Linked DNA regions of Macaca mulatta. The protein of the gene in region 1 binds, or shares a complex with, the protein of each later gene. Links are inferred from orthologs where the notes say so. Each region holds a gene or a part of one and is shown on either strand. Other genes may lie near its edges. The genes, in order: DRC1 and DRC12.

Evidence for each region.
Region 2: DRC1 (region 1) and DRC12 share a complex: the UniProt entries of both Homo sapiens proteins name them as parts of the nexin-dynein regulatory complex. The link is inferred for Macaca mulatta from reciprocal best matches to the Homo sapiens genes DRC1 and DRC12.

The regions. Positions count from the first base shown.
Region 1 is NC_133418.1:98,558,068-98,570,217, forward strand, and holds part of DRC1 (dynein regulatory complex protein 1), read right to left. Parts: intron 11,329-12,150; coding exon 11,189-11,328; intron 7,166-11,188; coding exon 7,031-7,165; intron 6,672-7,030; coding exon 6,439-6,671; intron 3,805-6,438; coding exon 3,692-3,804; intron 2,507-3,691; coding exon 2,417-2,506; intron 1,821-2,416; coding exon 1,731-1,820; intron 1-1,730. UniProt on the Homo sapiens protein: Component of the nexin-dynein regulatory complex (N-DRC) a key regulator of ciliary/flagellar motility which maintains the alignment and integrity of the distal axoneme and regulates microtubule sliding in motile axonemes.
Region 2 is NC_133419.1:119,880,318-119,893,190, reverse strand, and holds the start of DRC12 (dynein regulatory complex protein 12), read left to right. Parts: upstream 1-7,131; 5' UTR 7,132-7,176; coding exon 7,177-7,389; intron 7,390-7,687; coding exon 7,688-7,760; intron 7,761-8,186; coding exon 8,187-8,261; intron 8,262-9,329; coding exon 9,330-9,449; intron 9,450-10,213; coding exon of another isoform or gene 10,214-10,299; coding exon 10,300-10,392; intron 10,393-12,624; exon of another isoform or gene 12,625-12,692; coding exon 12,693-12,823; intron 12,824-12,873. UniProt on the Homo sapiens protein: Component of the nexin-dynein regulatory complex (N-DRC), a key regulator of ciliary/flagellar motility which maintains the alignment and integrity of the distal axoneme and regulates microtubule sliding in motile axonemes.

The DNA.
Region 1 (12,150 bases):
CCAACATAACAGGTTGGCAAAATGGAATTCAGGCATTTTAATTTGCATTTCTCTTATTACACGGAAGGCTGATTATCTTTTCATATGTTTAAGAGTTACCTGTATTGCCTCTTCTAGGAGTTGTTCATTCATATTTGTTATCTGTTCCTTGAGTTCTTGGTCTTTTTCTTATTGATTTCTGAGAGCTCTTTATATATTAAGGAAATGAGGCCTTAACTATGATACAAGTTGAAAATATTTCTCTGCAACTTGTCATTCATCTCTTAACTTTGCTTATGATGATTTTTGCCCTACAGAATTGTTTTTAAATTCTGGCATCAAATATAGCTTTTATTCCCTTTATGGCTTTGGCTTTGTGGTTTTGTCCATTCTGCCAACTCTTTTTTTTTCTCTTTTTTTTTCTTAGAGACAGTGTCTCACACTGTCACCCAGGCTGAAGTGCAGTGGTGCAATCATAGCTCACTGCAGCCTGAACTTCATCATGGCTCACTGCAGCCTCAACCTCCTGGGCTAAATTGAGCCTCCCAAGTAGCTGGAACTATAGGCATGAGCCACTGCGCCTAGCCCAGCCAACTCTTTTTAGAGGCATGTTAGGATACTCAGCTTTGGGCTAGCAGTACTAAAAACATTTTTCATTCACATTTTTCTTTTTCTTTTTTTTTTTTTTTTTTTTGAGATGGAGTCTCGCCCTGTTGCCCATGCCAGAGTGCAGTGGCACGATCTCAGCTCACTGCAATCTCCGCCTCCCGGGTTCATGCCATTCTCCTGCCTCAGTGTCCTGAGTAGCTGGGACTACAGGCGCCCGCCACCATGCCGTGCTAATTTTTTTGTACTTTTAGTAGAGACAGGGTTTCACCGTGTTAGCCAGGATGGTCTCGATCTCCTGCCCTCGTGATCTGCCCGCCTCAGCCTCCCAAAGTGCTGCGATTACAGGCTTGAGCCACCACGCCTGGCCCACATTTTTCATTTTTAAATTAAAACGTTATACAACTTTTAATATGGCAATTTCTTTAAAATAGTTAATATTTGATTCACCTTCTGAAATCAATTACAATCAATATATGTAGGACAAATGGGCCCTGCCTTGCGGGAAAGTGTTAAGGATCAAAATATTCAGAACCAGGTGGGCTCTGCTCTTACAGTGGCTGAGACCTGGTTGTGAGGGAGGGTGCAGGAAAAGATTCCTTGGGCCTCAGTGTAAGAACAGCATCTCACCCCCAAGCCATTCTTCCCTTTACAAAGAGACAAACTGATAAACAATAAGGAAAATGCTAAGTTAGCTATACCTGACATAAAAGCACTGCTGTGTCTCCAGAAGTACTACTCAAAGGCAGTACCATGCTCTGGGGGCTTTGGGAGAATTGAAAATGCAGGGACATGGGTGAAGCTGGAAACCATCATTCTCAGCAAACGACCACAAGATGAGAAAACCAAACACCGCATGTTCTCATTCATACGTGGGAGTTGAACAATGAGAACACATGGACACAGGGAGGGGAACATCACACACCGGGGCCTGTCAGTGGGTTGGGGGCTAGGGGAGGGATAACATTAGGAGAAATACCTAATGTAGGTGGTGGGTTGATGGGTGCAGCAAACCACTAGGGCATGTGTATACCTATGTAACAAACCTGCATGTTCTGCACATGTATCCCAGAACTTAAAGTATAATTAAATAAATAAATGAATAAATAAATAAAATGCTTTCTTCTCTTTGCACCTTGCCTTACCTGGAGACTGGAAGATAAACGGTGAGCTCGATATTTAAGGAAGAAGTTCACCAGTTTATACAAGTCATCTTCACTTTCAATTCCAAGGGCCTGGGGCAAAAAACAGGATGGTTGCTCAAACACCCCATCAAAGAGGCCACGGGCTTGGGCAGCTGATGGATGCTCAGCTCCTAAGAGCAGGAGGCTTGGCTTATGGAGGGCATTCATCCAACGCTGGGAAGCGACTGTGAACTTGGGGACACACACATCAGAACACACAGAAACAATGCTCATAGAGCCAGGAACTGCTCCATATGGATCCCTGGCTGTGAGGGTACCAAGTGGGGCTGCACCAGATCTGAGTTTGGGGGTGTCGGGGAGACCAGATCTGAGTTTGGGGGTGTCGGGGAGACCAGATCTGAGTTTGGGGGTGTCGGGGAGACCAGATCTGAGTTTGGGGGTGTCGGGGAGAACCTACAACCTGAGAGGAAGATGCTAGTAGAGGAAGGGGCAGGGGTGGGAGACACAGCAGCGAGTCTGAGGCCAATGTGTTGTGTGGAGAGCAGGTTAAGGGAAGGATGTGACAGGGAGCAGGGGAAGCCCCGGGAGACCCTCATCCACTGCCAGGGTTGAGGCAATGGCAGGGCCATCTGAGAACACAGCTGGCTTCAGCCCTGCCCGTGTCCTCCCAGCCCCGTGGGACTCACGGAGAAGATGGCGTCCAGCCTCAACAGATAGCATTCATTCTGCTCCAGGGGCAGGAGAAGGCTCAGCAGCTTGCTCTCTATGAGGAACCCCTGGGGAGAAGGAAGAAGGCATCTCCTGTCGGGGAAACGATTCAGGAGCGAGCCCCAGGGTCTGCAGCTGCCCCCTGTGTAACACTCCAGGGACCATGCCATGGAGCAGACACACAGGGATGGGAGCCAGCAGTGGGCCCCAGCAAAGCCTTCTCAGGGTGCCCATCAGCACCCCCCTCCCCAGGGAGCAAGGCCAGGGACAAGCAAGGCCAGGGACAAAGCCCATCCTCACCACAGACTTAGCTTTTCCCACCCAGAAGGGCACCAACCCACTTCACCCACAAGCCACTGGGCAAACTCCTGAGGCCCCCACCACAGTCCAAAGCTGACCCAGTCACAGGCTCCTGCTTCACTCATAGTCTTGTCCCCAAATATCTACAGAACACAGCAGCAGGCCAGGGAGGCACGGAGGGCAGTGGGCACCCCAAACCAAAACACGGCACACCTGCGGTGGAGGGGAGAGGGCGGCTGAGCAGACACGGTGCCTGCTCTGAGCTGGGATGCCTGGGGGAGGGCTCCATGGGTCTCTGCATCCAGCTGCAGGTTGAGAGGGCAGAACCTGCCACCTGACCCCTTCAGCAGCAGCTGCCCTCAGTGGCAGGAGCCAGCCAAAGGCAACTGCCCCCACTATCCCAAAAGAACACCCACTTCAGAACCATAAGATCCAAACCAACACTGCCCATGTTTGATCAAAACCCGACTTCCAGCTGAACCAGCTCAATACAGCTTTTATTCTAAGTCTAACCATATTTGCTAACACACAATGCAAACATCCAAATCCTAACATACCCAGAGTAGCCCCCAACACGAGCGCCTGAGAAGGGCCATGTCAGTATGGCCACGTCACTTAGCAAGTTGGTTCATGGAGGGGAGCTGGTGCCACTTCTGTCTCAGAAGCAGCATCATTTTAAGCTGGCAGGAGCCCTCCAGCTGGCCTGAACTGTGCCATGCTGACCAACCAGGGTTAGACCCATTTTCCAGCTGGGCCAGCTCAGAGGCAAGCCCTCTGTGAACTGGCCCTGAAGTCCAGGGGCCACCCCAACTCTGCTCCTCAGGCCCCAACCCTGGGCTTGGCCAGGGAAGGACTGGCCCACTCCTGACTCCAGGCTAGCACTGGCCCGGCAGAGGCCTCGGAAGCTGCACACCCCCGCGAGTCCCTCTGCTGCAGCCCCCGCCTGGCCTCACCGACTCGTCACACAGGAGCATCAGGATCTTCTTGGTAGTTTTTTCAGAAATTTGCTTCGGCAGGTCCAGGTAGGACTCTGGTTCCGAGGCGGCCTCTTCTGCCTCCTCCTCTTCTGCAGACAGGTCAGGGGGAGGAGAGAGAGAGAGAAAAAGAAGAAGATTTCTGGACCTAGCTGACTCTGAGAAACAGTCAGATGGCTTTCTCTGAAAAAATGTACCTCTCAAAAAGCCTCTGTGAGGCATTCTCACAGTCTCTTTATGATGAAAAAAGCCTATTACGTAGGGGGAAGGAGGGCTGGGGGATCGGAATCAGAGACTACCTGGAGAACTCGGCCATTCCCAGCCAGCCTGTAATGCCCTACTTTTCCAAAATGCATCTGCCTGGAAACATCATACTCAAAATCCAGCCATGAACCAGGGAGTGGGAGGGAGAGTGTGAGACCGTTTATTCTTATTTCAGAGATGATCTAGCAAGTGGTTCTATGGTTTCTAAACCTGCGACAGATTAGATAGAAGCAGCCAACTCAAAGCAGGGGTGGGTGGCTGTGCACATTCACAGATAAATTTTTTTTTTTTGAGACGGAGACTTGCTCTGTCACCCAGGCTGGAATGCAGTGGCGCAATCTCAGCTCACTGCAACCTCCGCCTCCCAGGTTCAAGCGATTCTCCTGCCTCAGCCTCCCGAGTAGCTGGGATTACAGATGCCTGCCGTGACACCAGCTAATTTTTATGTTTTTAGTAGAGACAGGGTTTCACCATGTTGGTCAGGCTGGTCTCGAACTCCTGACCTCATGATCCTCCCATCTTGGCCTCCCAAAGTGCTGGGATTACAGATGTGAGCCATTGTGCCCAGCCTATTTTTATTTTTTTAATTATTATTATTATTATTATTATTTTTGAGATAGAAGCTCACTCTGTTGTTCAACCTGGAGTGCAGTGGTGCAATCTTGGCTCACTACAAACTCCACCTCCTGGGTTCAAGCGATTCTCCTGCCTCAGCCTCCCGAGTAGCCGGGATTACAGGCGCACGCCATGACTGGCTAATTTTTTGTATTTTTAGTACAGATGGGGCTTTGCCATGTTGGCCAGGCTGGTCTCGAATTCCTGACCTCAGATGATCCGCCTGCCTTGGCCTCCCAAAGTGCTGGGATTACAGGGGTGAGAAATCCTATACTCTCGGCTCTGTCCACTGAAAAGGCCTAGAAACAACGGCCAATCCAAAACAATGAGCACCCAGCAGCCACAGTGTGGTTTCTAAATACCATTCCCTGGGCAGGCATGGTGGCTCATGCCTGTAATCCCAGCACTCTGGGAAGGAATCGCTTGAGCCTAGGAGTTTGAGACCAGCCTGGGCAACATGGCAAATCCCTGTCTCTACAAAAATTACAAAAATTAGCTGGCCATGGTGGCATGAGTCTTTGGTCCCAGATACTCGGGAGGCAGAAGTGGGAGGATTGCTGAAGCCTGAGAGGCAGAGGTTGCGGTGAGCCAAGATCCCACCAATGCACTCCAGCCTGGGTGACAGAGTGAGACCATCTAAAAAAAAAAAAAAAAAAAAAATCCCTATTAAAAAGGACCAGGGGATCCTTGGAGAAATGACTGATTCCAGACTTGAGGCAGGTAAAGTATAATGTGTGCCTTGAACACCTGGTCATCCTGGAAAGCCAGGACGCTATTAAACAAAAAACTACTAGGGCTGGCCAAGCACAGTGGCTCACACTTATAATCCCAGCATTTTGGGAGGCTGAGGTGGGGGGATCAGGAGGTCAGGAGATGGAGACCATCCTGGTCAATATGGTGAAACCCCATCTCTACTGAAAATACACAAAATTAGCCAGGTGTGGCAGTACACACCTGTAGTCCCAGCTACTCGGGAGGCTGAGGCAGGGGAATTGCTTGAACCCGGGAGGCAGAGGTCTCAGTGAGCCGAGACCGCGCCACTGACCTCCAGCCTGGCAACAGAGCAAGACTCTGTCTCAAAAATAAATAAATACATAAACAAATAAATAAATAAATAACTACTAGGGCTGAGTCAAAAGGACCTAGAAGCCAATGTGAAGATTTCCACTAGCCAAAGATGGAAGAATTTGAGCCTCAGTAAGGATAATTACTTTTGTAAACTAAAATACATCAAATTTGTTTAAATTCATGCATTCATAATATTTTTTAAAAACTCATTGGTACCTTTGGAAGATGCTAGAGGACCAACCCATTATTTTGAAAGTTGGTCAGCGAGAAAAAATAAGCGTCTATCCTGCTTTTCGTATACAGACTATCTCAGGGTAGCAAATTGCTGATGAAGGAAAAGTTTTCTTTTAATAAGTATTCTAACTGTTAAATAAAGACACAAGAATAGAATTTAACATATCACCATTTTGCAATTCCTAATACAGTTCATGGATCTTAGACAATGATTAGCAACGGTTGCTAACATCACAAAAAGAGAGACAATTTAACATTAGTTTATCCCAATGGAGGTACTACACAGTAGTGTACTTAGCAAAAATAAATTGGACCTGCACCTGATCAAGTTTCTAGACCTAACTGCCAGTTTATAATACAGGGGAGAGAGCAAAGCTATAAATTAGAGGAGACTTACAAGCTATATCCATAATCATACTCTACCACCTCCTAGCTATGGGATTTCTTCCCCCTCCTCCCTAGACTATCTCTAACATGACTGGCTTAACCCGATGTTCTCAGGGGGCTCCTCCAGCTCTAAGGTTCTACGACAACGTTCTAGTCACCTGTGTGCATGAGCATTTCTTCTACTATCTGTGTGGCGGACTTCTGGGGCTGCTGAGAAATAGGCCCAACATTCTTCAGGAACCAGAAATCAGGTGCTGTCCAGGGAAGCCCCAGATGATGGGTGTGGATGATCCTGTCCACATCAAAGGCTCTGGCTATTAGATCCTTTGCCTCCTCTTCATTCATCAGCCAAATCTCCCGAAACTTCTCATCATCAATAAGAGCAAAATGCCTGTGAAGGAGAGTCACAGAGCATGGCCAGCTGACCCCAGGGCCTGGCCAGGGTCCCCTCAATTGGCAGCAGGGAAAGAACATGAAAAGGAGCTGTGCTAATTCCTGGGCGTGGCCCCATCCCTGGGCAGCTGATTCCCACTTACAGTAAACTGGAAGCCATCCCAACACATCTCAAGAAAAGGCAGGTGATACGCAAGTGAAGGACCAGGGGAACACACCACAAAGGGTTAACTAATGCCTGGTCCAACTCCAAAATAGCTGGCCATATCAAGTCCAACGAAATCACAGCCTGTACAAACTCCATCCCCGCCACCTCTATGCTAGGACAAGTGCCTTAGGACCAAGTCCTTAAGATACCGCATGGCTTTCTGTAGCTCCTTGAATTGCAACACAAGACGTTTGTAGTCCAAGGTTAGAGACTGGTTCTCCTCCTGAAACTGCTTTATTTGCTTGGCATATTTTGATCTCAGATTGTTAAGTATATCATGCAGGCTGGTTGAAGGAAAAAAAAAAAAGTTAGTCTGCAGCTGAATAGAAGGTCGGACGTATGTTGCTCTCATCCACCTGATTCAGCTCTACAACAAACTCAGGAGCAGATTTGTGGAAGAGCAGAAAACCCTCCCATATATTCCAAAACACAGATCCCATTTTGATCAACAAAAGGAAGGCAACAGGAGGTCATGCGACAGTCCAAAACGAAATGCATTGAAAGCAATCCAGAGCCCATACCCACCAAGAGGCAGCCTCCTACTCAAGACTGAACAGAACCTTCTTCACAACACATCATTTGTCAGAATGCCCATACCCATACCTAGGGCCAGCCTCACATATTTAAATAATCTATCTCGGCCAGGTGCAGTGGTTCAAGCCTATAATCCCAGCACTTTGGGAGGCCAAGGCGGGCGAATCACGAGGTCAAGAGATCGAGACCGTCCTGGCTAACACAGTGAAAACCCATCTCTACTAAAAATAATAAAAAACAAAATTAGCCAGGTAGTGTGGTGGCAGGCACCTGTAGTCCCAGTTACTCGGGAGGCTGAGGCAGGAGAACAGCGTGAACCCGGAAGACGGAGCTTGCAATGAGCTGAGATCGTGCCACTGCACTCCAGCCTGGGCGACAGAGCAAGACTCCGTCTCAAAAAAATAAAAAATAATAATAAATAAATAAATAATCTATCTCAACTATTTCATTGTCATGACTTAGATGTTTAATTCAATTATGAAGCAAGGAAAATTTAAAGAAAAAAATGCATATGATACATAAATCTTCCAGCCTCAAAGTGCTGATACCGTTAACAGGTCCAGTAACTCATTCATTCATTCATTCACTCATTCACTTATCATTAAACAAGCATGAAATGCCACTTTCGCGCAAGGATATGTTGAAAGACAAAGATGAATACAAAGATATGTTTCAATACTATCTTTGACAGGTACTATCAGTCTAGTCAAAAACAAAGACAAACGTTAATTACAGTACAGCATGGCAAGTGCTATAGGAGAGTTTTATGCAGGATGTCAGGGGAGCCCAGAGGTGAGGCATCTATCTTACCAAGGCTTGCAGGGGAGGGGATGGTCCAAAATTTCCAGAACAGCAAGAGGCAGTTAAAACCTGTCCAATAGCACTGTGAATCCAGGCATGGCACAGCTCACCATCTCACTGCTAACAGGAGCTCTGTGCATGGAAACGTGGCCCATAAAATATGCATGGCAGGCACAATTTTTAGACCCAGGTCCATACTTCAGACTTCAAACTGCTACAGAGGTGTCTCTTATCAGTGTCTCATTCACACAGTAACAGAGAAGTTGAAGGCCAACATATTTTAAGTTTAGAAATTCTAAAAATAAAATTTTCCATCTCCTAAGCATTATTCTGAAATGATCAAAATGCCTTTCAAATGCAAACATTCATCATTCATATTTTCATCGTCAAGAAAATGCAAAAAAAAGTAGTTACCTTAGTCTCTGATAGAAAGAAACAGCTAACCCATTTTCTTAACTAAAGCAGGCTTTCCAAGCACAGAAGTAAAAACAAGTAGTCATTCCAAAGTGGTTTTTTTCCCAATGTCATGTGGTAAAGGAGTTCCTACGTGTCATCTAATTACAAAAGCTACCAAAACAAACTCCAGATGCATACTGAAGGTCCGGGCAAGATAGCAGGAGAGGAAGTCAACAGGGAAGAATGGTTGCAAGAGGAGGTTCAACAAAAAGTCCAGAGTCCTTAGTGCCTGGAAGCTAGAGATGCAGAGGAGTAAAGCTGGAGAACTGGAAACAGGGAGCAAAGGCAAGTCTGGTTTCAGAAACTGTGCCCTGGAAATGACAGGGCCTCTCCAAGCTGAACTGTTACCTTGGCAGTTCCAAGTAAATGAAAGGTGAGCTCAGGATTGGGGATATGAAGTTGGTAGTCATCAACAAAAAGGGGATATTCAAAACCATGAGATTGAGGTGTGTGGCAGATGAAATAAAAATTAAAAGCAATGGTAAGGCCTGGGTCTTCTAGATTACCTTATCTAGATACTCAAGACATATCAAGCAAGGAAAAGCAGAACCACCAAAGGAAACAAATAAATTAAGAAAGAAGGGCAAATATTTTAGGGTCACTTAAACCGAAGAAGAAAACCCAGTATCCAATCATAATAGGATGAGGCCTGAGGAGAAGTCACTACGTTTGGCTAGAAGGGCATCATTGGTATCCTACTTTGGGAAGTTTTTGTACAATCCTGGGGTCATAGGTTGCTATGGCTTGAATGTAACTCCTCCAAAATTCAGTGTTGTCAATGTGATAATATTAAGAGGTGGGGCCTTTAAGAGGTAATGAGGCCATGAGGGCTCCCCCGTCATGAATGGGATTATGGGATTAAGGCCCTTATAAAACAGGCCTCCCAAAGCCTTAGGCCAGCTTGCTCTCCCATTCTTCTGCTGAGTGAGGACACAGCGTCCCTCCCCTCTGAAAGATACAGCCCTCACTAGAAACTGAACCTGCCAGCCTTGATCTTGGCCTTCCCAGGCTCCAGAACTGTGAGAAATAAACTCGTCTTTGTAAATTATCCAGTCTCAGGTAGTCTGTTATAGCAGCACAAACAGATATGTCAAATTATGAAATGTTGGGTGGTGATGAGGAGGAAAGGAAAATGGCAATGAAAGCAAGAAATGAAAAGATGGTGCTTAGAAATGGCAGGGTCCGTTGAAGGGTTTTTCAGGCTGAGGGAAAGATGTCTGAGTTTGAAATAAGAGGGAAGATTCCACTCATCTCTCAGCCACACGCATCAAACCCAAGCTCTGCCTCAAGCGCCTCCTCCCGCCTCCCACCTTACCCGTTCTCTACACCCACTGTGGGACTTCCTGAATCCTACCTCCTTGCCTTCAGACCAGCCATTCCCAGCTGCCAGCACTGTCCACCTGGAGTCTCCTCTTAACTGCCTTTTGCCAGTTCATGTCCCCACCCCCTCCAGTATTTCACTTCTTTGGGAAGTTTTCCCAGGTGCCTCCTCACTGTCTTGATGTGTGTCTTTCTTGGATGTTCCCCTATCTAGTATGGGGCTTATATAGTGGGAATTTTTTCATAAATATTGTCCCCTGACTATTCTTGTTTCTCAGATAATCAGGCTTAAGATGCCATCCCATTTATTCAGTATCATTTTCTGTGATAAGTAACTACCAAAATGTCAACTGATGTTCGTCTATACATTCAACATGTGTCCAAAATGTACGTATTACCAACCCACAAGTGGAAGAATTCATAAATAATAATAGGCTATTTGGGGTTTGGAGGGAAATCCTCAATCTTGTCTCCTTCTACAAGCAAGAAATCTTATTCCACTCTGGTCCTCAGAGCCTAACACAGTGGTCTGAAACTTAGAATGCAATTCCTAAAGGAAGAAAGGCAGGAAGGATGGGACTAAGGAGACAAGGAAGAAGGGAAGATGTGTGAGAAATTTCAAGCAATAGGTACCTTTCAATGAGCCATGGTATCTCCACAAAAGCAAACTGGCACATGTCATGAGTACTTAGGTTGGTATTATTTGCAAGGGAAAAAGGCTGGAAGCAATCTACATGTCCATCATTAGACACTGGTCAAATAAATCATAGTGTATCTATACAGTGGGTCGTAGCAGCTTAACAAACGGTAAAAGCTCTCTATGAACTGGGATGGAAAGGTCTTCAAGATACACGGCAGTGTGTACAGACTGCCATCATTTGCGTAAAAGCAGATGGGGGATGAGAATATTTGTGTGGGCTTGTATATGCCTAATGAAATTCTGGAAGAGACAAACTGGTTATAGAGGTGGGAAAGAGGAACAAGATGAATGGGGATGGAAAATCTTTTGCTATGTTCTCTTTTCTTGGGGAGAGAAGGGGAACCACTTGAATGTATTAACTTCTCCAAAAAACTATTTTAATAAGTGTTGGTTATATTTTTAATGGTTTCTACCCCTTCAATAGAAAAAAGTACATATCCATCCCTATTCTCAGCACAGAGAGCCCAGAAGAAAGACGCTCTGCATGCTAGCTTACCGATTGATCTTCCTCTTCTGCTGGGATTTAATCACTGTGCTTTCTTCATCTCTCTTCTTCAGCACCTGCAAGTTGTACTCTAATTTCTCTTGGTTTAGTTGATAAATTGCTTTCCTCTGCTGAAGCTGCTGCTCAAGAATCTAAAATTTTAAAAAAACTATATATATATCTATGTATATGTGTATATATATACACACACACACACACACTAACTCTACACCTGCATCCTTAGTATTATATACACTAGCGTATTTAAAATGTCTTTTGGGGAACATGCTTTGTATAGGTAAATATTTACATAGATATACTTACATAGTCCTGCTTATGTATGTTTATTTACCTAACTATGCATCTCCATATTCAGATGTATTTATCTTTGTACCTACATTCATAAAGAATAAAGAGGTAAAAGTATTGGTAGAAGTTTATACTGGAAGTATACAAAAATAAACTTTCCTACATTTATAAGCTTATCTGCCCTGTGAATTATACCTAAAATTGTACACAAATAAAGGTATGCTCTGAAATACAAATATATATATATTTTCACACACTAGTTGGCCCTAGCTTGTAGGCTTCTGATAAATTGTTCAAGTCATGTCAGAGGAACCTTAGGGACAAGTGCCTCAGCCTGCATTCTTAGAAAATCTATCATGAGAGTCAAGTTAAAGGTCAACCAGATAAAATACAAGTCAATGAACTGTAAACTAAAATCTGTATACCTAACGCCTAAGAAAGATCACAGAGCTTTCAAGTCCAACTAACTCCGGTAACTTTCTCCAGACCCTTCAGAAATATGAGTAGCCCCGCTAAAAACACCATAGAAATAAATACGGCCACAAAAACTTGAAATTTCCCCCACTTTGACCTTCCAGGGTGGAAGTGTTAGTGTTTAGCAACCCAGGTTCATTTAAAAGGACAGACACAGTCATCCTTACTTTTTGGATTTCCATTAGCTGTAT
Region 2 (12,873 bases), on another chromosome or scaffold:
AATGCAACCGCTGCCCACCGAGTAGCTGGGATTACAGGTGCCTGCCACCATGCCTGATTAATTTTTGTATTTTTAGTAAAGACGAGATTTCACAGTGTTGGCCAAGCTGACATGACCTCCAATTCCTGACCTGAGGTGATCCGCCCTCCTCGGCCTCCCAAAGTGCTGAGAATCACAGGCATGACCACCGCACCACCGCAATTCTTTCTTTCTTCATCACCATTACTCAGACAGTTCCTTATTCCCTCTGCCTGAAGTGTGCTTTAAAATCCAATCCATTCAGCCCAGTGCAGTGGCTCATGCCTGTAATCCCAGCACCTTGTGAGGCCGAGGGGGGCGGATCACCTCAGGTCAGGAGTTGGAGACCAGCTTGGCCAACATGGTGAAATCTCGTCTTTACTAAAAATACAAAAATTAGCTGGGTTTAGTGGCGGGCACCTGTAATCCCAGCTACTCGGGAGACTGAGGCAGGAGAATCACTTGAACCCGGGAGCCAGAGGTTGCAGTGAGCCGAGATTGTGCCACTGCACTCCAGCCTGGGCAACGAGAGTGAAACTCTGTCAAAAAAAAAAAAAAAGAATAAATAAAGTAAGGTTAATAAGAAAAGGAAGATTGCCCTTTTCTTACCTTTTATTTTTTCCAAAAAAAAAAAAAAAAATTAGCTGGGCGTGGCGCGAGCCACCACGCCAGGCCACAATTTTTATTTGACTTGTTTTAGAAAACGTACAAGAGAGGGGATTGGACTGTTGATCACAATGTCATTCCCATTCCAGATTATGCTAGAGTTGGTTCATCCTGCATCACATCGTGTAACATGTAGCCTTTTTCTTATCCCACTTCACCTTCACCCCAAACCACATCCTCATTCCGCACCTGAAAGTCCATTGACTGAGCCGAGCATGGTGGCTCACGCCTATAATCCCAACACATTGGGAGGCCGAGGCTGGCGGATCACTCGAGATCGGGAGTTTGAGACCAACCTGACCAACATGGCGAAACCCCATCTCTGCTAGAATACAAAAAGTAGCCAGGCGTGGTGGCGGGCACCTGTAATCCCAGCTACTCTGGAGGCTGAAACAGGAGAATGCCTTGAACCTGGGAGGCGGAGGTTGCAGTGATCCGAGATCGCACCACTCCACTTCAGCCTGGGCACAGAGCGAGACTTTGTCTCAAAAGAAAAAAAGGAAAGTCCATTGACTGAACGTATTTGTAAACTACTTTCTCTTCTGGGGTATAGTTGCTTATATTCTGCAATCTCTATTCTAATGTCATTCTATGCATCAGGATGAGAAAAGAAAAGTAGCTCAAAACTGTCTGAACTGTGTGAGGTATGCAAAATTATCAGGCCCAGAGAAACATGAGTATGGGACTTCAGTCACAAACCCCCGACCCATGCCTGGGGGCAGTGGTTTAAAGGCATTTGGTCCCTGACTAGCTGCCTCACCCATCATCTTCATGTTCCTGGAATACAACGTACAGCCAATCAAATACCTTACGCTATGTTAATGCAAATGATTAGCAGACAGTTTAGGAACTGCCTCTTCTTTGCATTTGTTTGTTTATTTATTTATTTATTTTCGGTGGGGTGGTGGTGGTCTCAGGTTGCCCAGGCTGATCTTAAACTCCTGGCCTCAAGTGATCCTCCCGCCTTGGCCTCCCAAAGTGCTAAGATTATAGGCATGAGCCACCACACCTGGCCTCTTTTTTCCTTTAAAAAGACACTTGTCAGGAGGCTGAGGCAGGAGAATGGCGTGAACCCGGGAGGTGGAGCTTGCATGAGCCGAGATCGCACCACTGCACTCCAGCCTGGGCGACAGAGCGAGACTCCGTCTCAAAAAAAAAAAAAAAAAAAAGACTTGTTGGCCGCGCCTGGTGGCTCACGCCTGTAATCTCAGCACTTTGGGAGGCGGATCACGAGATCAGGAGTTCAAGACCAGCCTGGCCAAGATGGTGAAATGCTGTCTCTATTAAAAATACAAAAAATCAGCCAGACTTGGTGGTGGGAGTCTGTAATCTCAGCTACTCGGGAGGCTGAGGCAGGAGAATCACTTGAACCGGGAGGCAGAGGTTGCAGTGAGCCAAGATTGTGCCACTGCATTCCAGCCTGGGCAACAAGAGTGAAACTCCATCTCAAAAAAAAAAAAAAAAAAAAACCCACACACACACACTTGTAACTGCTACTAATCTAAGCCTATTGTCAAGGGCAACTTGAATCTATGCTCCTGGATTGCTGTCCTCAAACTTGGCCCAAGTAAACTCTCTGCTTAAATTTGTGCCAGTCTTTTCCTTTACATCAACAAGTAATGGGGACACTAATCATTCCACGGAAAAAAAAGTTTCCAACCAAGCAAGGTAGCTCCTGCCTGTAGTCCCAACACTTTGGGAGGCTGAGGCAGATGGATTGCTTGAGACCAGGAGTTCGAGACCAGGATGGGCAACATAGGGAAACCCTGTCTCTGTAAAAAATGCAAAAATTTGCCAAGCTCAGTGGCTCATGCCTGCAATCCCAGCACTTTTGTCACAGGAAAGGGGTCCCGATCCAGATCCTAAGAGACCGTTCTTGGATCTCACACAAGATAGAATTCAGGGCGACTCTAGAGTAAAGTGAAAACAAGTTTATTAGGAAAGTGTTGGAACAGAAGAATGGTGACTCCATAGACATAACCATTTTTATGGTTATTTCTTGATGAGATGCTAAACAAGGGGTGGATTATTCATGCCTCCCCTTTTTACACCATACAGGGTAACTTCCTGATGTTGCCATGGCATTTGTAAACTGTCATGGCGCTGGTGGGAGTGTAGCAGTGAGGACGACCAGAGGTCACTCTCGTCACCATCTTGGTTTTGGTGGGTTTTGGCCAGCTCCTTTACTGCGACCTGTTTTATCAGCAAGGTTTTTATGATCTGTATCTGTGCCAACCTCCTATCTCATCCTATGACTTAGAATGCCTTAACCTTCTGGGAATGCAGCCCAGTAGTTCTCAGCCTCATTTTACCCAGCTCCTCTTCAAGATGGAGTTGCTCGGGTTCACACAACCCTGACACTTGGAGACCAAAGCAAGCAGATCACCTGAGATTGGGAGTTCCAGACCAGCCTGGCCAACATGGTGAAACCCCATCTCTACTAAAAATACAAAAATTAGCTGAATGTGGTGGCACATGCCTGTAATCCCAGCTACTCTGGAGACTGAGGCACAAGAATCTCTTGAACCCAGGAAGCAGAGGTTGCAGTGAGCTGAGATCACACCACTGCACTCCAGCATGGGCCACAGAGTGAGACTGTCTCAAAAAAAAAAAAAAAAGAAAGAAAGAAAAACCTCCCAGGCCGGGCGCGGTGGCTCAAGCCTGTAATCCCAGCACTTTGGGAGGCCGAGACGGGCGGATCACGAGGTCAGGAGATCGAGACCATCCTTGCTAACCCGGTGAAACCCCGTCTCTACTAAAAAATACAAAAAAAAAAAAAAACTAGCCGGGCGAGGTGGCGGGCGCCTGTAGTCCCAGCTGCTCGGGAGGCTGAGGCAGGAGAATGGCGTGAACCCGGGAGGCGGAGCTTGCAGTGAGCTGAGATCCGGCCACTGCACTCCAGCCTGGGCGACAGAGCGAGACTCCGTCTCAAAAAAAAAAAAAAAGAAAAAGAAAAACCTCCCAAACAGGCTTCTAGATGAGGAGGACAGGGACAGGAACCCCCACTGCATTACAGCACAGGAGAAGGAGGTGGTGGAGGGAGAATAAATGAAAAACATGCTCAAGATTAGAAGAAGCTGGTCTGATGGTAGTGGGCTATCAGAACTTATTAACATTAGTCTCATGTCAAAGAAAAGAGTCAAACTCTGTAAAATATTTGAAGAGATTTATTCTGAGCCAAATATGAGTGACCAATGGCCCGTGACACAACTCTCAGGAGATCCTGACAAGTGCTGAAGGTGAACAGGCTACAATTTGGCTTTTTGCATCTTTGTTTTTTTTCAGACGGAATTGCACTCTTGTTGCCCAGGCTGGAGTGCAATGGCGCAATATCGGCTCCCTGCAACCTCCACCTCCCGGGCTCAAGAGATTCTCCTGCCTCAGCCTCCCAAGTAGCTGGGATTACAGGCACCCACCAAAATGCTCGGCTAATTTTTTGTATTTGTAGTAGAGACAGGGCTTCACCATGTTGGTCAGGCTGGTCTTGAACTCCTGACCTCAGGTGATCCACCTGCCTTGGCCTCGCAAAGTGCTGGGATGACAGGCGTGAGCCACTGCGCCGGCTTGCTTTATACATTTTAAGAAAACATAAGACATCAATCAATACATGTAAGATGTACATTGGTTCGGTCTAGAAAGGCAGGACAACTGGAAGTGAGGAAGTGGGTAAGGGAATTAGGGTTAGAATTAGGTTCCGGGTCATAAGTGAATTCAGAGATTTTCCAATTGACAATTGCTTGAAAGAGTTCTTATCTAAAGATCTGGAATCAATAGAAAGGAATGTCTGGATCACAATAAGGGGTTGCAGAGACCACGGGTTTTTTTTAGACAGAGTTTTGCTCTGGTTGCCCAGGCTGGAATGCAGTGGCGTGATCTTGGCTCACCACAACCTCTACCTCCTGGGTTCAAGCGATTCTCCTGCCTCAGCCTCCCAAGTAGCTGGGATTACAGGCGCACACCACCATGCCCAGCTAATTTTTGTATTTTTCAGTAGAGAAAGGGTTTAATAATGTTGGCCAGGCTGGTCTTGAACTCCTGACCTCATGATCTGCCCACCTCAGCCTCCCAAAGTGCTGGGATAACAGGCATGAGTCACCATGCCCAGCCTCTTGTGGCTATTTCTACAGATCTGCTCCTGACAATAGGCAATGGACCAAAAATATTGAGGGTGACAGAGTTGAAGAGAAGTACCTAAAGAAAGAAGGCCAGGCGCAGTGGCTCATGCCTGTAATCCCAGCACTTTGGGAGGCTGAGGCAGGTGGATCACGAGGTCAGGAGTTCAAGACCAACCTGGCCAAGATGGTGAAACCCCATCTCTACTAAAAATACAAAAATTAGCCAGGCGTGGTGGTGGGTGCCTGTAATCCCAGCTACTCGGGAGGCTGAGGCAGAGAATTGCTTGAACCCAGGAGGTGGAGGTTGCAGTGAGCCGAGATCACATCACTGTACTCCAGCCTGGTGACAGAACAAGACTCTGTCTGAAAAAAAAAGATAGCCTGGTGCAGTGGCTCACGCCTGTAATCCAAGAACCTTGGGAGGCCAAGGCAGGCAGATCACTTGAGGCCAGGAGTTCAAGACCATGCTGGCCAATATGGTAAACCCCGTCTCTACAAAAAATATAAAAATTAGCCAGGTGTGGTGGCATGCGCCTATAGTCCCGGCTACTCAGGAGGTTGAGGTGGGAAGATCACCAGAGCCTGGAGAGGCTGAGGCTGCAGTGAGCCGTGATCATGCCACTGCACTCCAGCCTGGGTGACAGAGAGAGACACTGAGAAAAAAAAAATGCCAGGCGCGGTGGCTCACGCCTGTAATCCCAGAATTTTGGGAGGCCGAGGCGGGTGGATCACGAGGTCAGGAGATCGAGTCCATCCTGGCTAACACGGTGAAACCCCATCTCTACTAAAAATACAAAAAAATTAGCGGGGCGTGGTGGTGGATGCCTGCAGTCGCAGCATGAACCCGGGAGGTGGAGCTTGCAGTGAGCCGAGATCGTGCCACTGCACTCCAGCCTGGGCAACAGAGCGAGACTCTGTCTCAAAACAAAAACAAAAACAAAACAAACAAACAAAAAACCTAAAGAAACGGTCTGCAGGTCCCCTAATCCAAAAGGAGAAAAGCCCTGAAGTGTCTGCTGTTTTCACTCTAACCAGTATGGTGCCCAGAGATCCAAGTGGCAGATAGATGGCAAGCCTCAGGATAGCACAGAGCTGCAGGGAGAGTGAAGGCTGCCTGACAAGGGAGGGCCACCCGTCATACTCTCTCCCCCACATTAATTATTCCAGCCACTCCTGGCTCCAGCAGGACACTAAGAAGTATCCCCAAAGGGAGTCACCCCCAATATTGCCCAGTAAATAATTTAAAAGCAAAAATGTGGGAAACTCAGGAGAAGGTCAAACAAGTCCACTAGAGGGAGCCCCAACCAACTCTATGCTGCAGGGAGCCTCACAAAGCAATGTCTCAACACCTGTCTGAAAATCAACCACACAAGGGAATGGGGAAATGTAGCAATAGATTAAGTAACTAGGAGAGAAGATAGCCATGTAAACACCTAGCTAAAACACAGGCTTTTCAAGAGCTACAAAATCAAACATTTAAAGATCAGGAAACTGATGCTGAGCAAAGTCAAATGGCTTGCCTCAGTTTACATATCCACAGTTGGGACTCAAACTCAAATGTCTTGTCTCTAACCTGAGCACTTTCCTGCACACTTGCATCCCTCTAGGTCAGTACCCTAGAGTCCATGGGTCTGCTGTTCCTTTGTGTCTCATTTCTCTGAAGTGGGAAACGCCCTCGACTACCTATTCCTGTACTTATTACCCTCATTCCACAGTGTACTGAAGAGGATCTTCAGTGGTTTGGGGTTTTTGTTTGTTTGTTTGTTTGTTTGTTTGAGACAGGGTCTCCCTCTGTCATCCAGGCTGGAGTGCAGTGGTGCAATCATAGCTCACTGCTGCCTCAACCTCCCAGGCTCAAGTGGTTCTCCTGCTTCAGCCTCCCGAGTAGCTGAGACTAACAGGTGTGCACCACCCTGCCAGGCTAATTTTTTAATTTTTTGTAGAAATGAGGTCTCACTGTGTTGTCCAGGCTGGTCTTGAACTCCTGGCCTCAAGTAATCCTCCTGCCTCAGCTTCTGAAAATGTTGGGATTATAGGCATGAGCCACCGCCCCCAGCTTAGATCTTCAGTTTTAAACCTACTAATGTCATTTTGCTGATGGGACCTCGGGATGTCAATTGTCCAACATGGCTACTGTCAGTCCTTTTCCTCTGTATCAGCACAACATATTATCTCAGATGTGTACATCTGAATTTGGAAGTCTCCAAATTGCAGGCCATGTCTACGTGGCAATGAATCATAACCAATCGGCCTCCAAAGCCCTTTCTTTTCAAACTATACTTAGGGTTTTGGGATAAGGAAAGAACTGACCCTTTGAGACCTTGATATTTTAAGCTTTGTGAGCTGATTTAGCCCATTCCACCTTCCTACGAACTCCATGTTTCCCAGTTGCCTGGACAACATACAGCCTCCCGAAACCCAACCTTCCAGCCCTCAGTCCTGCCCTCAAGAGAAATTTGTCACCAAGGATTGGCTCCCAGGACCCAGGCCCCGCCTCAGGCTCCTCGCTAGTTGGGCCTTCTCTCTGCCACTCCCCACGGGTGGGTCACTCCACAGGGAGCCCCAACACTGGCAGGAGAGGATCCTACAGGTAGGAAGAGGGGGTTGAGGATGATGGGAAGAGGGAGGGGAGCAGGTACAGGGATTTATCTAAAAGAGAGTTGTGAGGAGTGACTTCCGTACAGTCAGCCTGGTTGAGAGAAAAAACTTCACCCTCCCCGTTGACCCCAACCCTGCCTGAGGTTCCAAAGAGACTGTGAACTGACTTTTCTGAAGAGTATGAGATACAAATTTGGAGTAGAACCAGGAGACTCCCCTGAGACTCCTGATTCAGTCAGGAAAGCATCCCTGTGTCCAGACCTAAACATAAGGTCCCCTCCTTCTCCCAGGACAGCAAGGAGATGCCACTTAAAAACAAAGAAAAAGGGAAGAAATCTGGGGCGCAGAAGAAAAAGAACTGGGGTGAGTCATGGTGGGTGGAGGTGCCCCCTGCTTCTCCATGTTCTGGCATGAAGACCACGCAGAGCTCCTCCAGAGAGAATTCAGCCTTCTACATGACAGGATGGAACTCTCTTGACCTTCCTCTTTCGTGTCCTTGAAGTCAGATGCAGGGAGCTGAGGAAGTGGGGAAATGGTCACTCACGCTCTCCTTTAAGCACCATCTAGCTTTGTGCCTTCCTAATATATTTGTCATGTGTATTTTGCATATCTGTTATGTGCTGGTTGGTAAGGACACAGTGCTGACTTCAGTAGACTCTGCCACCATGGATCCCTCATTTAGTGGTCCTCAGGTCTCCTGTGGCAAAAGTGCAGGGTGTGGGGTGAGGACGCAAGGAGAGTGAGGAATGCTGAGATCACGAAGAGCTGAGGCTCTGCCACTTGCCACAGCAGGTGCAGATGTGGAGGCTGAGTCCAGGCACAGGCTGGTGGTGCTGGAGAAGGAGCTGCTCCGAGATCACTTGGGTAAGGAGGGTAGAAGTTGGCATGGGGGTGGGCAACAGGGCAAGTGAAATGGGGCATTTCTGTATCCTGGGGGATTGGAGAGTTGGAGATACAGTGGGGGGCTAAGTTGAACCCTAACCATCCCCTAGTGGAAAAAGACAATGAGAGAGGGGTGGGCAGTGAGAGTTGATAAAGGAAGCTTTTTTTTTTTTTTTAGACAGAATCTTGCTCTATTGCCCAGGCTGGACTGCAGTGGTGTGATCATAGCTCACTGTAATCTCAAACTCCTGGACCCCAACAATCTTCCCACCTCAGCTTCACGAGTAGCTGGTGCACACCACCCTACCTAGCTACTTTATTTATTTATTTATTTTTCTTTTTTAAAATTTATTTTATTTTATTATTTCATTTTATTTTATTTTACTATCTTTTTTTTTTAAGACAGAGTCCTGTGCTCTGTTGCCCAGGCTGGAGTGCAGTGGCGTGATCTTGGCTCACTGCAACCTCTGCCTCCCAGGCTCAAGTGATTCCCCTGCCTCGGCCTCCCAAGTAGCTGGGATTACAGGCACACAGCCACCACGCCCGGCTAATTTTTGTATTCTTATTAGAGACAGGTTTTCACCATGTTGGCCAAGCTGGTCTCGAACTCTTGACCTCATGATCCTCCCACCTTGGCCTCCCAAAGTGCTGGGATTACAGGCATGAGCCACTGCGCCTGGCCCTATTTATTTTTCTTATAGAGACAAGGTCTCACTCTGTTGCCCAGGCAGGTCTCAAACTCCTGGCCTCAAGCAATTCTCCCACCTAAGCCTCCCAAAATATTGGGATTACAGGCATGAGCCACCATGCCGGGCTATCCGGAAAGCTATTTTGTATAGGCAGAACATGGAGAGAGTCTTTACTTCTTAATAATGAGGAGCCTGTGAGACTCTAGGGATAAAAAACAAAAACAACAAAACCCAGAGAGAGAATAAGAGGCTGGACGCCCCGCCACCAGATTTCTAGAGACGGGCAAAATTCATCAAGTTCATGGGGGCTGATTTAGCGGGCCCCAGCCAGTCCTGACAGTGGCTCTGGGACTGCTCACAGCTCTACGGAGGGATGAAGCCCGTCGAGCCAAGGCTTCCGAAGACCAGCTGAAGCAGAGGCTGCAAAGGGTGGAGGCTGAGCTGGAAGGGGCCCGAAGTGAAGGGAAGGCCATATATGCAGGTGTGTGGTCTGTTGAGCAGGTGGGCAGGAGACAGGGGCCTGGAGGAAGACAACCAGCAGGGTCAGATGATGCAAGGAAGGGAAACAAGGAGGGCTTCCAACTGCCAGGCCTGGTCTTGGTCTTCCCCGAACAGTACAAATCAGGCAGGATCCTGCAGGAATCAAAGGCAGGTAGGTTCCTGGGATCCCAGGCAGGGGCCTGCCAGGATGCCTGGTGCCATGTGCTTGATGCTGTGTAGGATACGCATGCAGTCATAGCCATCACCTCAACCATCCTATGGGAGGGGAGAAGGACTAGCATCCCCATCCAAAGCTGGACGGTGGGGGAGGTGGGTTGGGCTTCCTTTCCCTTCCTCAGGTTTTCATGGTCTCTAGCTTCTCAGAATCACAAAAAGAACCAAGAAGACCATGGGCCGGGAGTGGTGGCTCACACCTGTAATCCCAGCACTTTGGGAGGCCGAGGCGGGCGGATCACGAGGTCAGGAGATCGAGACCATCCTGGCTAACATGGTGAAACTCCGTCTCTACTAAAAATGCAAAAAATTAGCCGGGTGTGGTGGCAGGTGCCTGTAGTCCCAGCTACTCGGGAGACTGAGGCAGGAGAAGGGGGTGAACCCGGGAGTCGGAGCTTGCAGTGAGCCAAGATCGCACCACTGCACTCCAGCCTGGGCGACAGAGCGAGACCCCGTCTCAAAAAAAAAAAAAAAAAAAGAAAAAGAAGAACCAAGAAGGCCTTTGTGCTCCTGTTCCACTAGACCAAGTAGAGTCTTCCCCACCCACAACTTCATTTCCTTTCTCCATCGCTCCATCTCCGACCTGGGTCCCTGGCGGCCTACTGCCCCCACCCCAGAGATGAGTCGCCAGTGCCATGCCCTGCAGGAGGATATGCAATCCCGCAGCAAGCAGCTGGAGGAAGAAGTCAAGGGCCTTCGGGGGCAGCTAGGTAGGTTTCCCCACCCCCCAAGCCCCTTGTCTCCAAGAGTTGCAGCAAGGGCCAGCATGAAGGGGCAGACTTCAAAGTCTCTGCTCCAGAAAGCTGCCACCCGGGCTCTGGGATCACTTTCCCCACTTTCACTGACCCTCCACCATCGAGGACTGGAGCAGAGGGTTCGGGATGCCAAGAATCTCTGTTGTAAGTAAAGAAGAGGTGCCAGGCGCAGTGGCTCAGGCCTGTAATCCCAGCACTATGGGAGGCCAAGGCGGGCGGATCGCCTGAGGTCAGGAGTTCGAGAACAGCCTGGCCAAATGGCGAAACCCTGTCTCTACTAAAAATATAAAAATTAGCCAGATGTGGTGGCGCACACCTGTAATCCTAGCTACTCGGGAGGCTGAGGCAGGAGAATTGCTTGAATCCGGGAGGCAGAGGTTGCAGTGAGCCGAGATCGCGCCATTGCACTCCAGCCTGGGCGACAGAGCAACTCTGTCTCAAAAAAATAAATAAAAATAAAAAAGAAGAGGTAGGCGTCACACCCCATTTCCTCCTCTCCAAGTCCAGCCCTACCTAACTCCCCACCACTGCCATGTCTCTTGTGAGCAAAACATATTCCCTTTTAGTTTAGCTGATTTCTACAACGAAACTAAGGGAAAATGTTTGACTTATTTACTTACAAGACCTAGCACCCGGTAGGTCCTAAATAACTGTTCACTAAATAAATGAATAAACACTCCCAATAAGCAAAAATATTTTTAAAAACTAGGAAGCCATTGCTTCTCTTCTCTTGCCTCCTGCTTACAAAATAATGTTGAAATATCTCAGCATGACACATGAGCTCTTGCACAATTTTGGTCCCAAAGTGTTCATACCTTAAAAATGCCTTCAGCCGGGCTCAGTGGCTCACCCCTGTAATCCCAGCACTTTGGGAGGCCAAGGCGAGAGGATTGCTTGAGGCCAGGAGTTCGAGACCAGCCTGGCCAATATGGTGAAATGCCGTCTCTACTAAAATTACAAAAATTAGCCGGGCATGGTGGCATGTGCCTGTAATCTCAGATACTTGGGAAGCTGAGTCAGAAGAATCACTTGAATCCAGGACGCGGAGGCTGCAGTGAGCCGAGATCGCACCACTGCACTCCAGCCTGGGTGACAGAGTAAGACTCCGACCAAAAAAAAAAAAAAAAGCCTTTGGTTTAGCTATAGATGGCCAGGAGCTGCTTATCTGCCATTCAGACCCTGGGTTCCTTTCCTAATCTTTGCTTTACCTCAAATTCCAAGTCAATCAATAACTCAATTGTTTTTGTTGTTGTTGTTGTTTTTTGTTTTTGTTTTGTTTTGTTTTGTTTTTTTGAGACGCAGTTTCGTTCTGGTTGCTCAGGCTGGAGTGCAATGGCGCAATCTCGGCTGACAGCAACCTCTGCCTCCCAGATTCAAGCCATTCTCCTGCCTCAGCCTCCCGAGTAGCTGGGATTACAGATGTGTGCCACCATGCCTGGCTAATTTTTGTATTTTTAGTAGAGATGGGAGTTTCACCATGTTGGCCAGGACTCCTGATCTCAGGTAATCCGCCCTCCCCGGCCTCCCATAGTGCTAGGATTACAGGCGTGAGCCATCACACCCGGCCAATGAATCAATGTTTACGGAGCACTTCCTGTATACTAGCTAGGTGCTTTGTCATCCATCATCGTGTTTAAAGGTCACAGCATACCCCTGAGAGATGTGTCATTCTCTCTTTAAAGATGAAGACACCAGCTAGCTGCGGTGGCTCACGCCTGTAATCCCAGCACTCTGGGAGGCTGAGGTGGGCGGATCACGAGGTCAAGAGATAGGGACCATCCTGGCCAACATGGTGAAACCCTGTCTCTAATAAAAATTAAAAAATTAGCTGGGCGTGGTGGCATGTGCCTGTAGTCCCAGCTACTCAGGAGGCTGAGGCAAGAGAATTGCTTGAACCCAGGAGGCGGCGGTTGCAGTGAGCCGAGATCATGCCACTGCACTCCAGTCTGGTGACAGAGTGAGACTCCATCTAAATAAATAAATAATAAATAAAAAGATGAAGACACTGAGGCTCAGAAAGAGACATGTCTGTGGTCACCTAGGTAGTAATCCGACTTTGGAGCCTTCTGTCTCAAGCCCACCATTCTCTGCTACACCTCAGTGGAGCTTCAGCTTTTACAGGGACTGCAGGAAAGTTGGTGATGCTGGGGGAGTCTGGAATGAGCCCATTCAAGGTCTCCTTTCCAGATACCTTTGGAGACTGGTCAAGGATAGAGTGTCACCATCCTGCTGTCTTTCATCCTGCCTGCCCCCAGAGGCATGCCAAAAGGAAGCTGCGGCTGCCCGGGAAGAGGCTGAACAAGCTCTAAGAGAGCGGGACCAGGCCCTGTCTCAGCTTCGGACCCACGTGGCAGACATGGAGGCAAAGTATGAGGAAATCTTACAGGTAAGCACCACCTCCTGGATCCCAGTCATCCCAGTACCCAGGACTCCCCC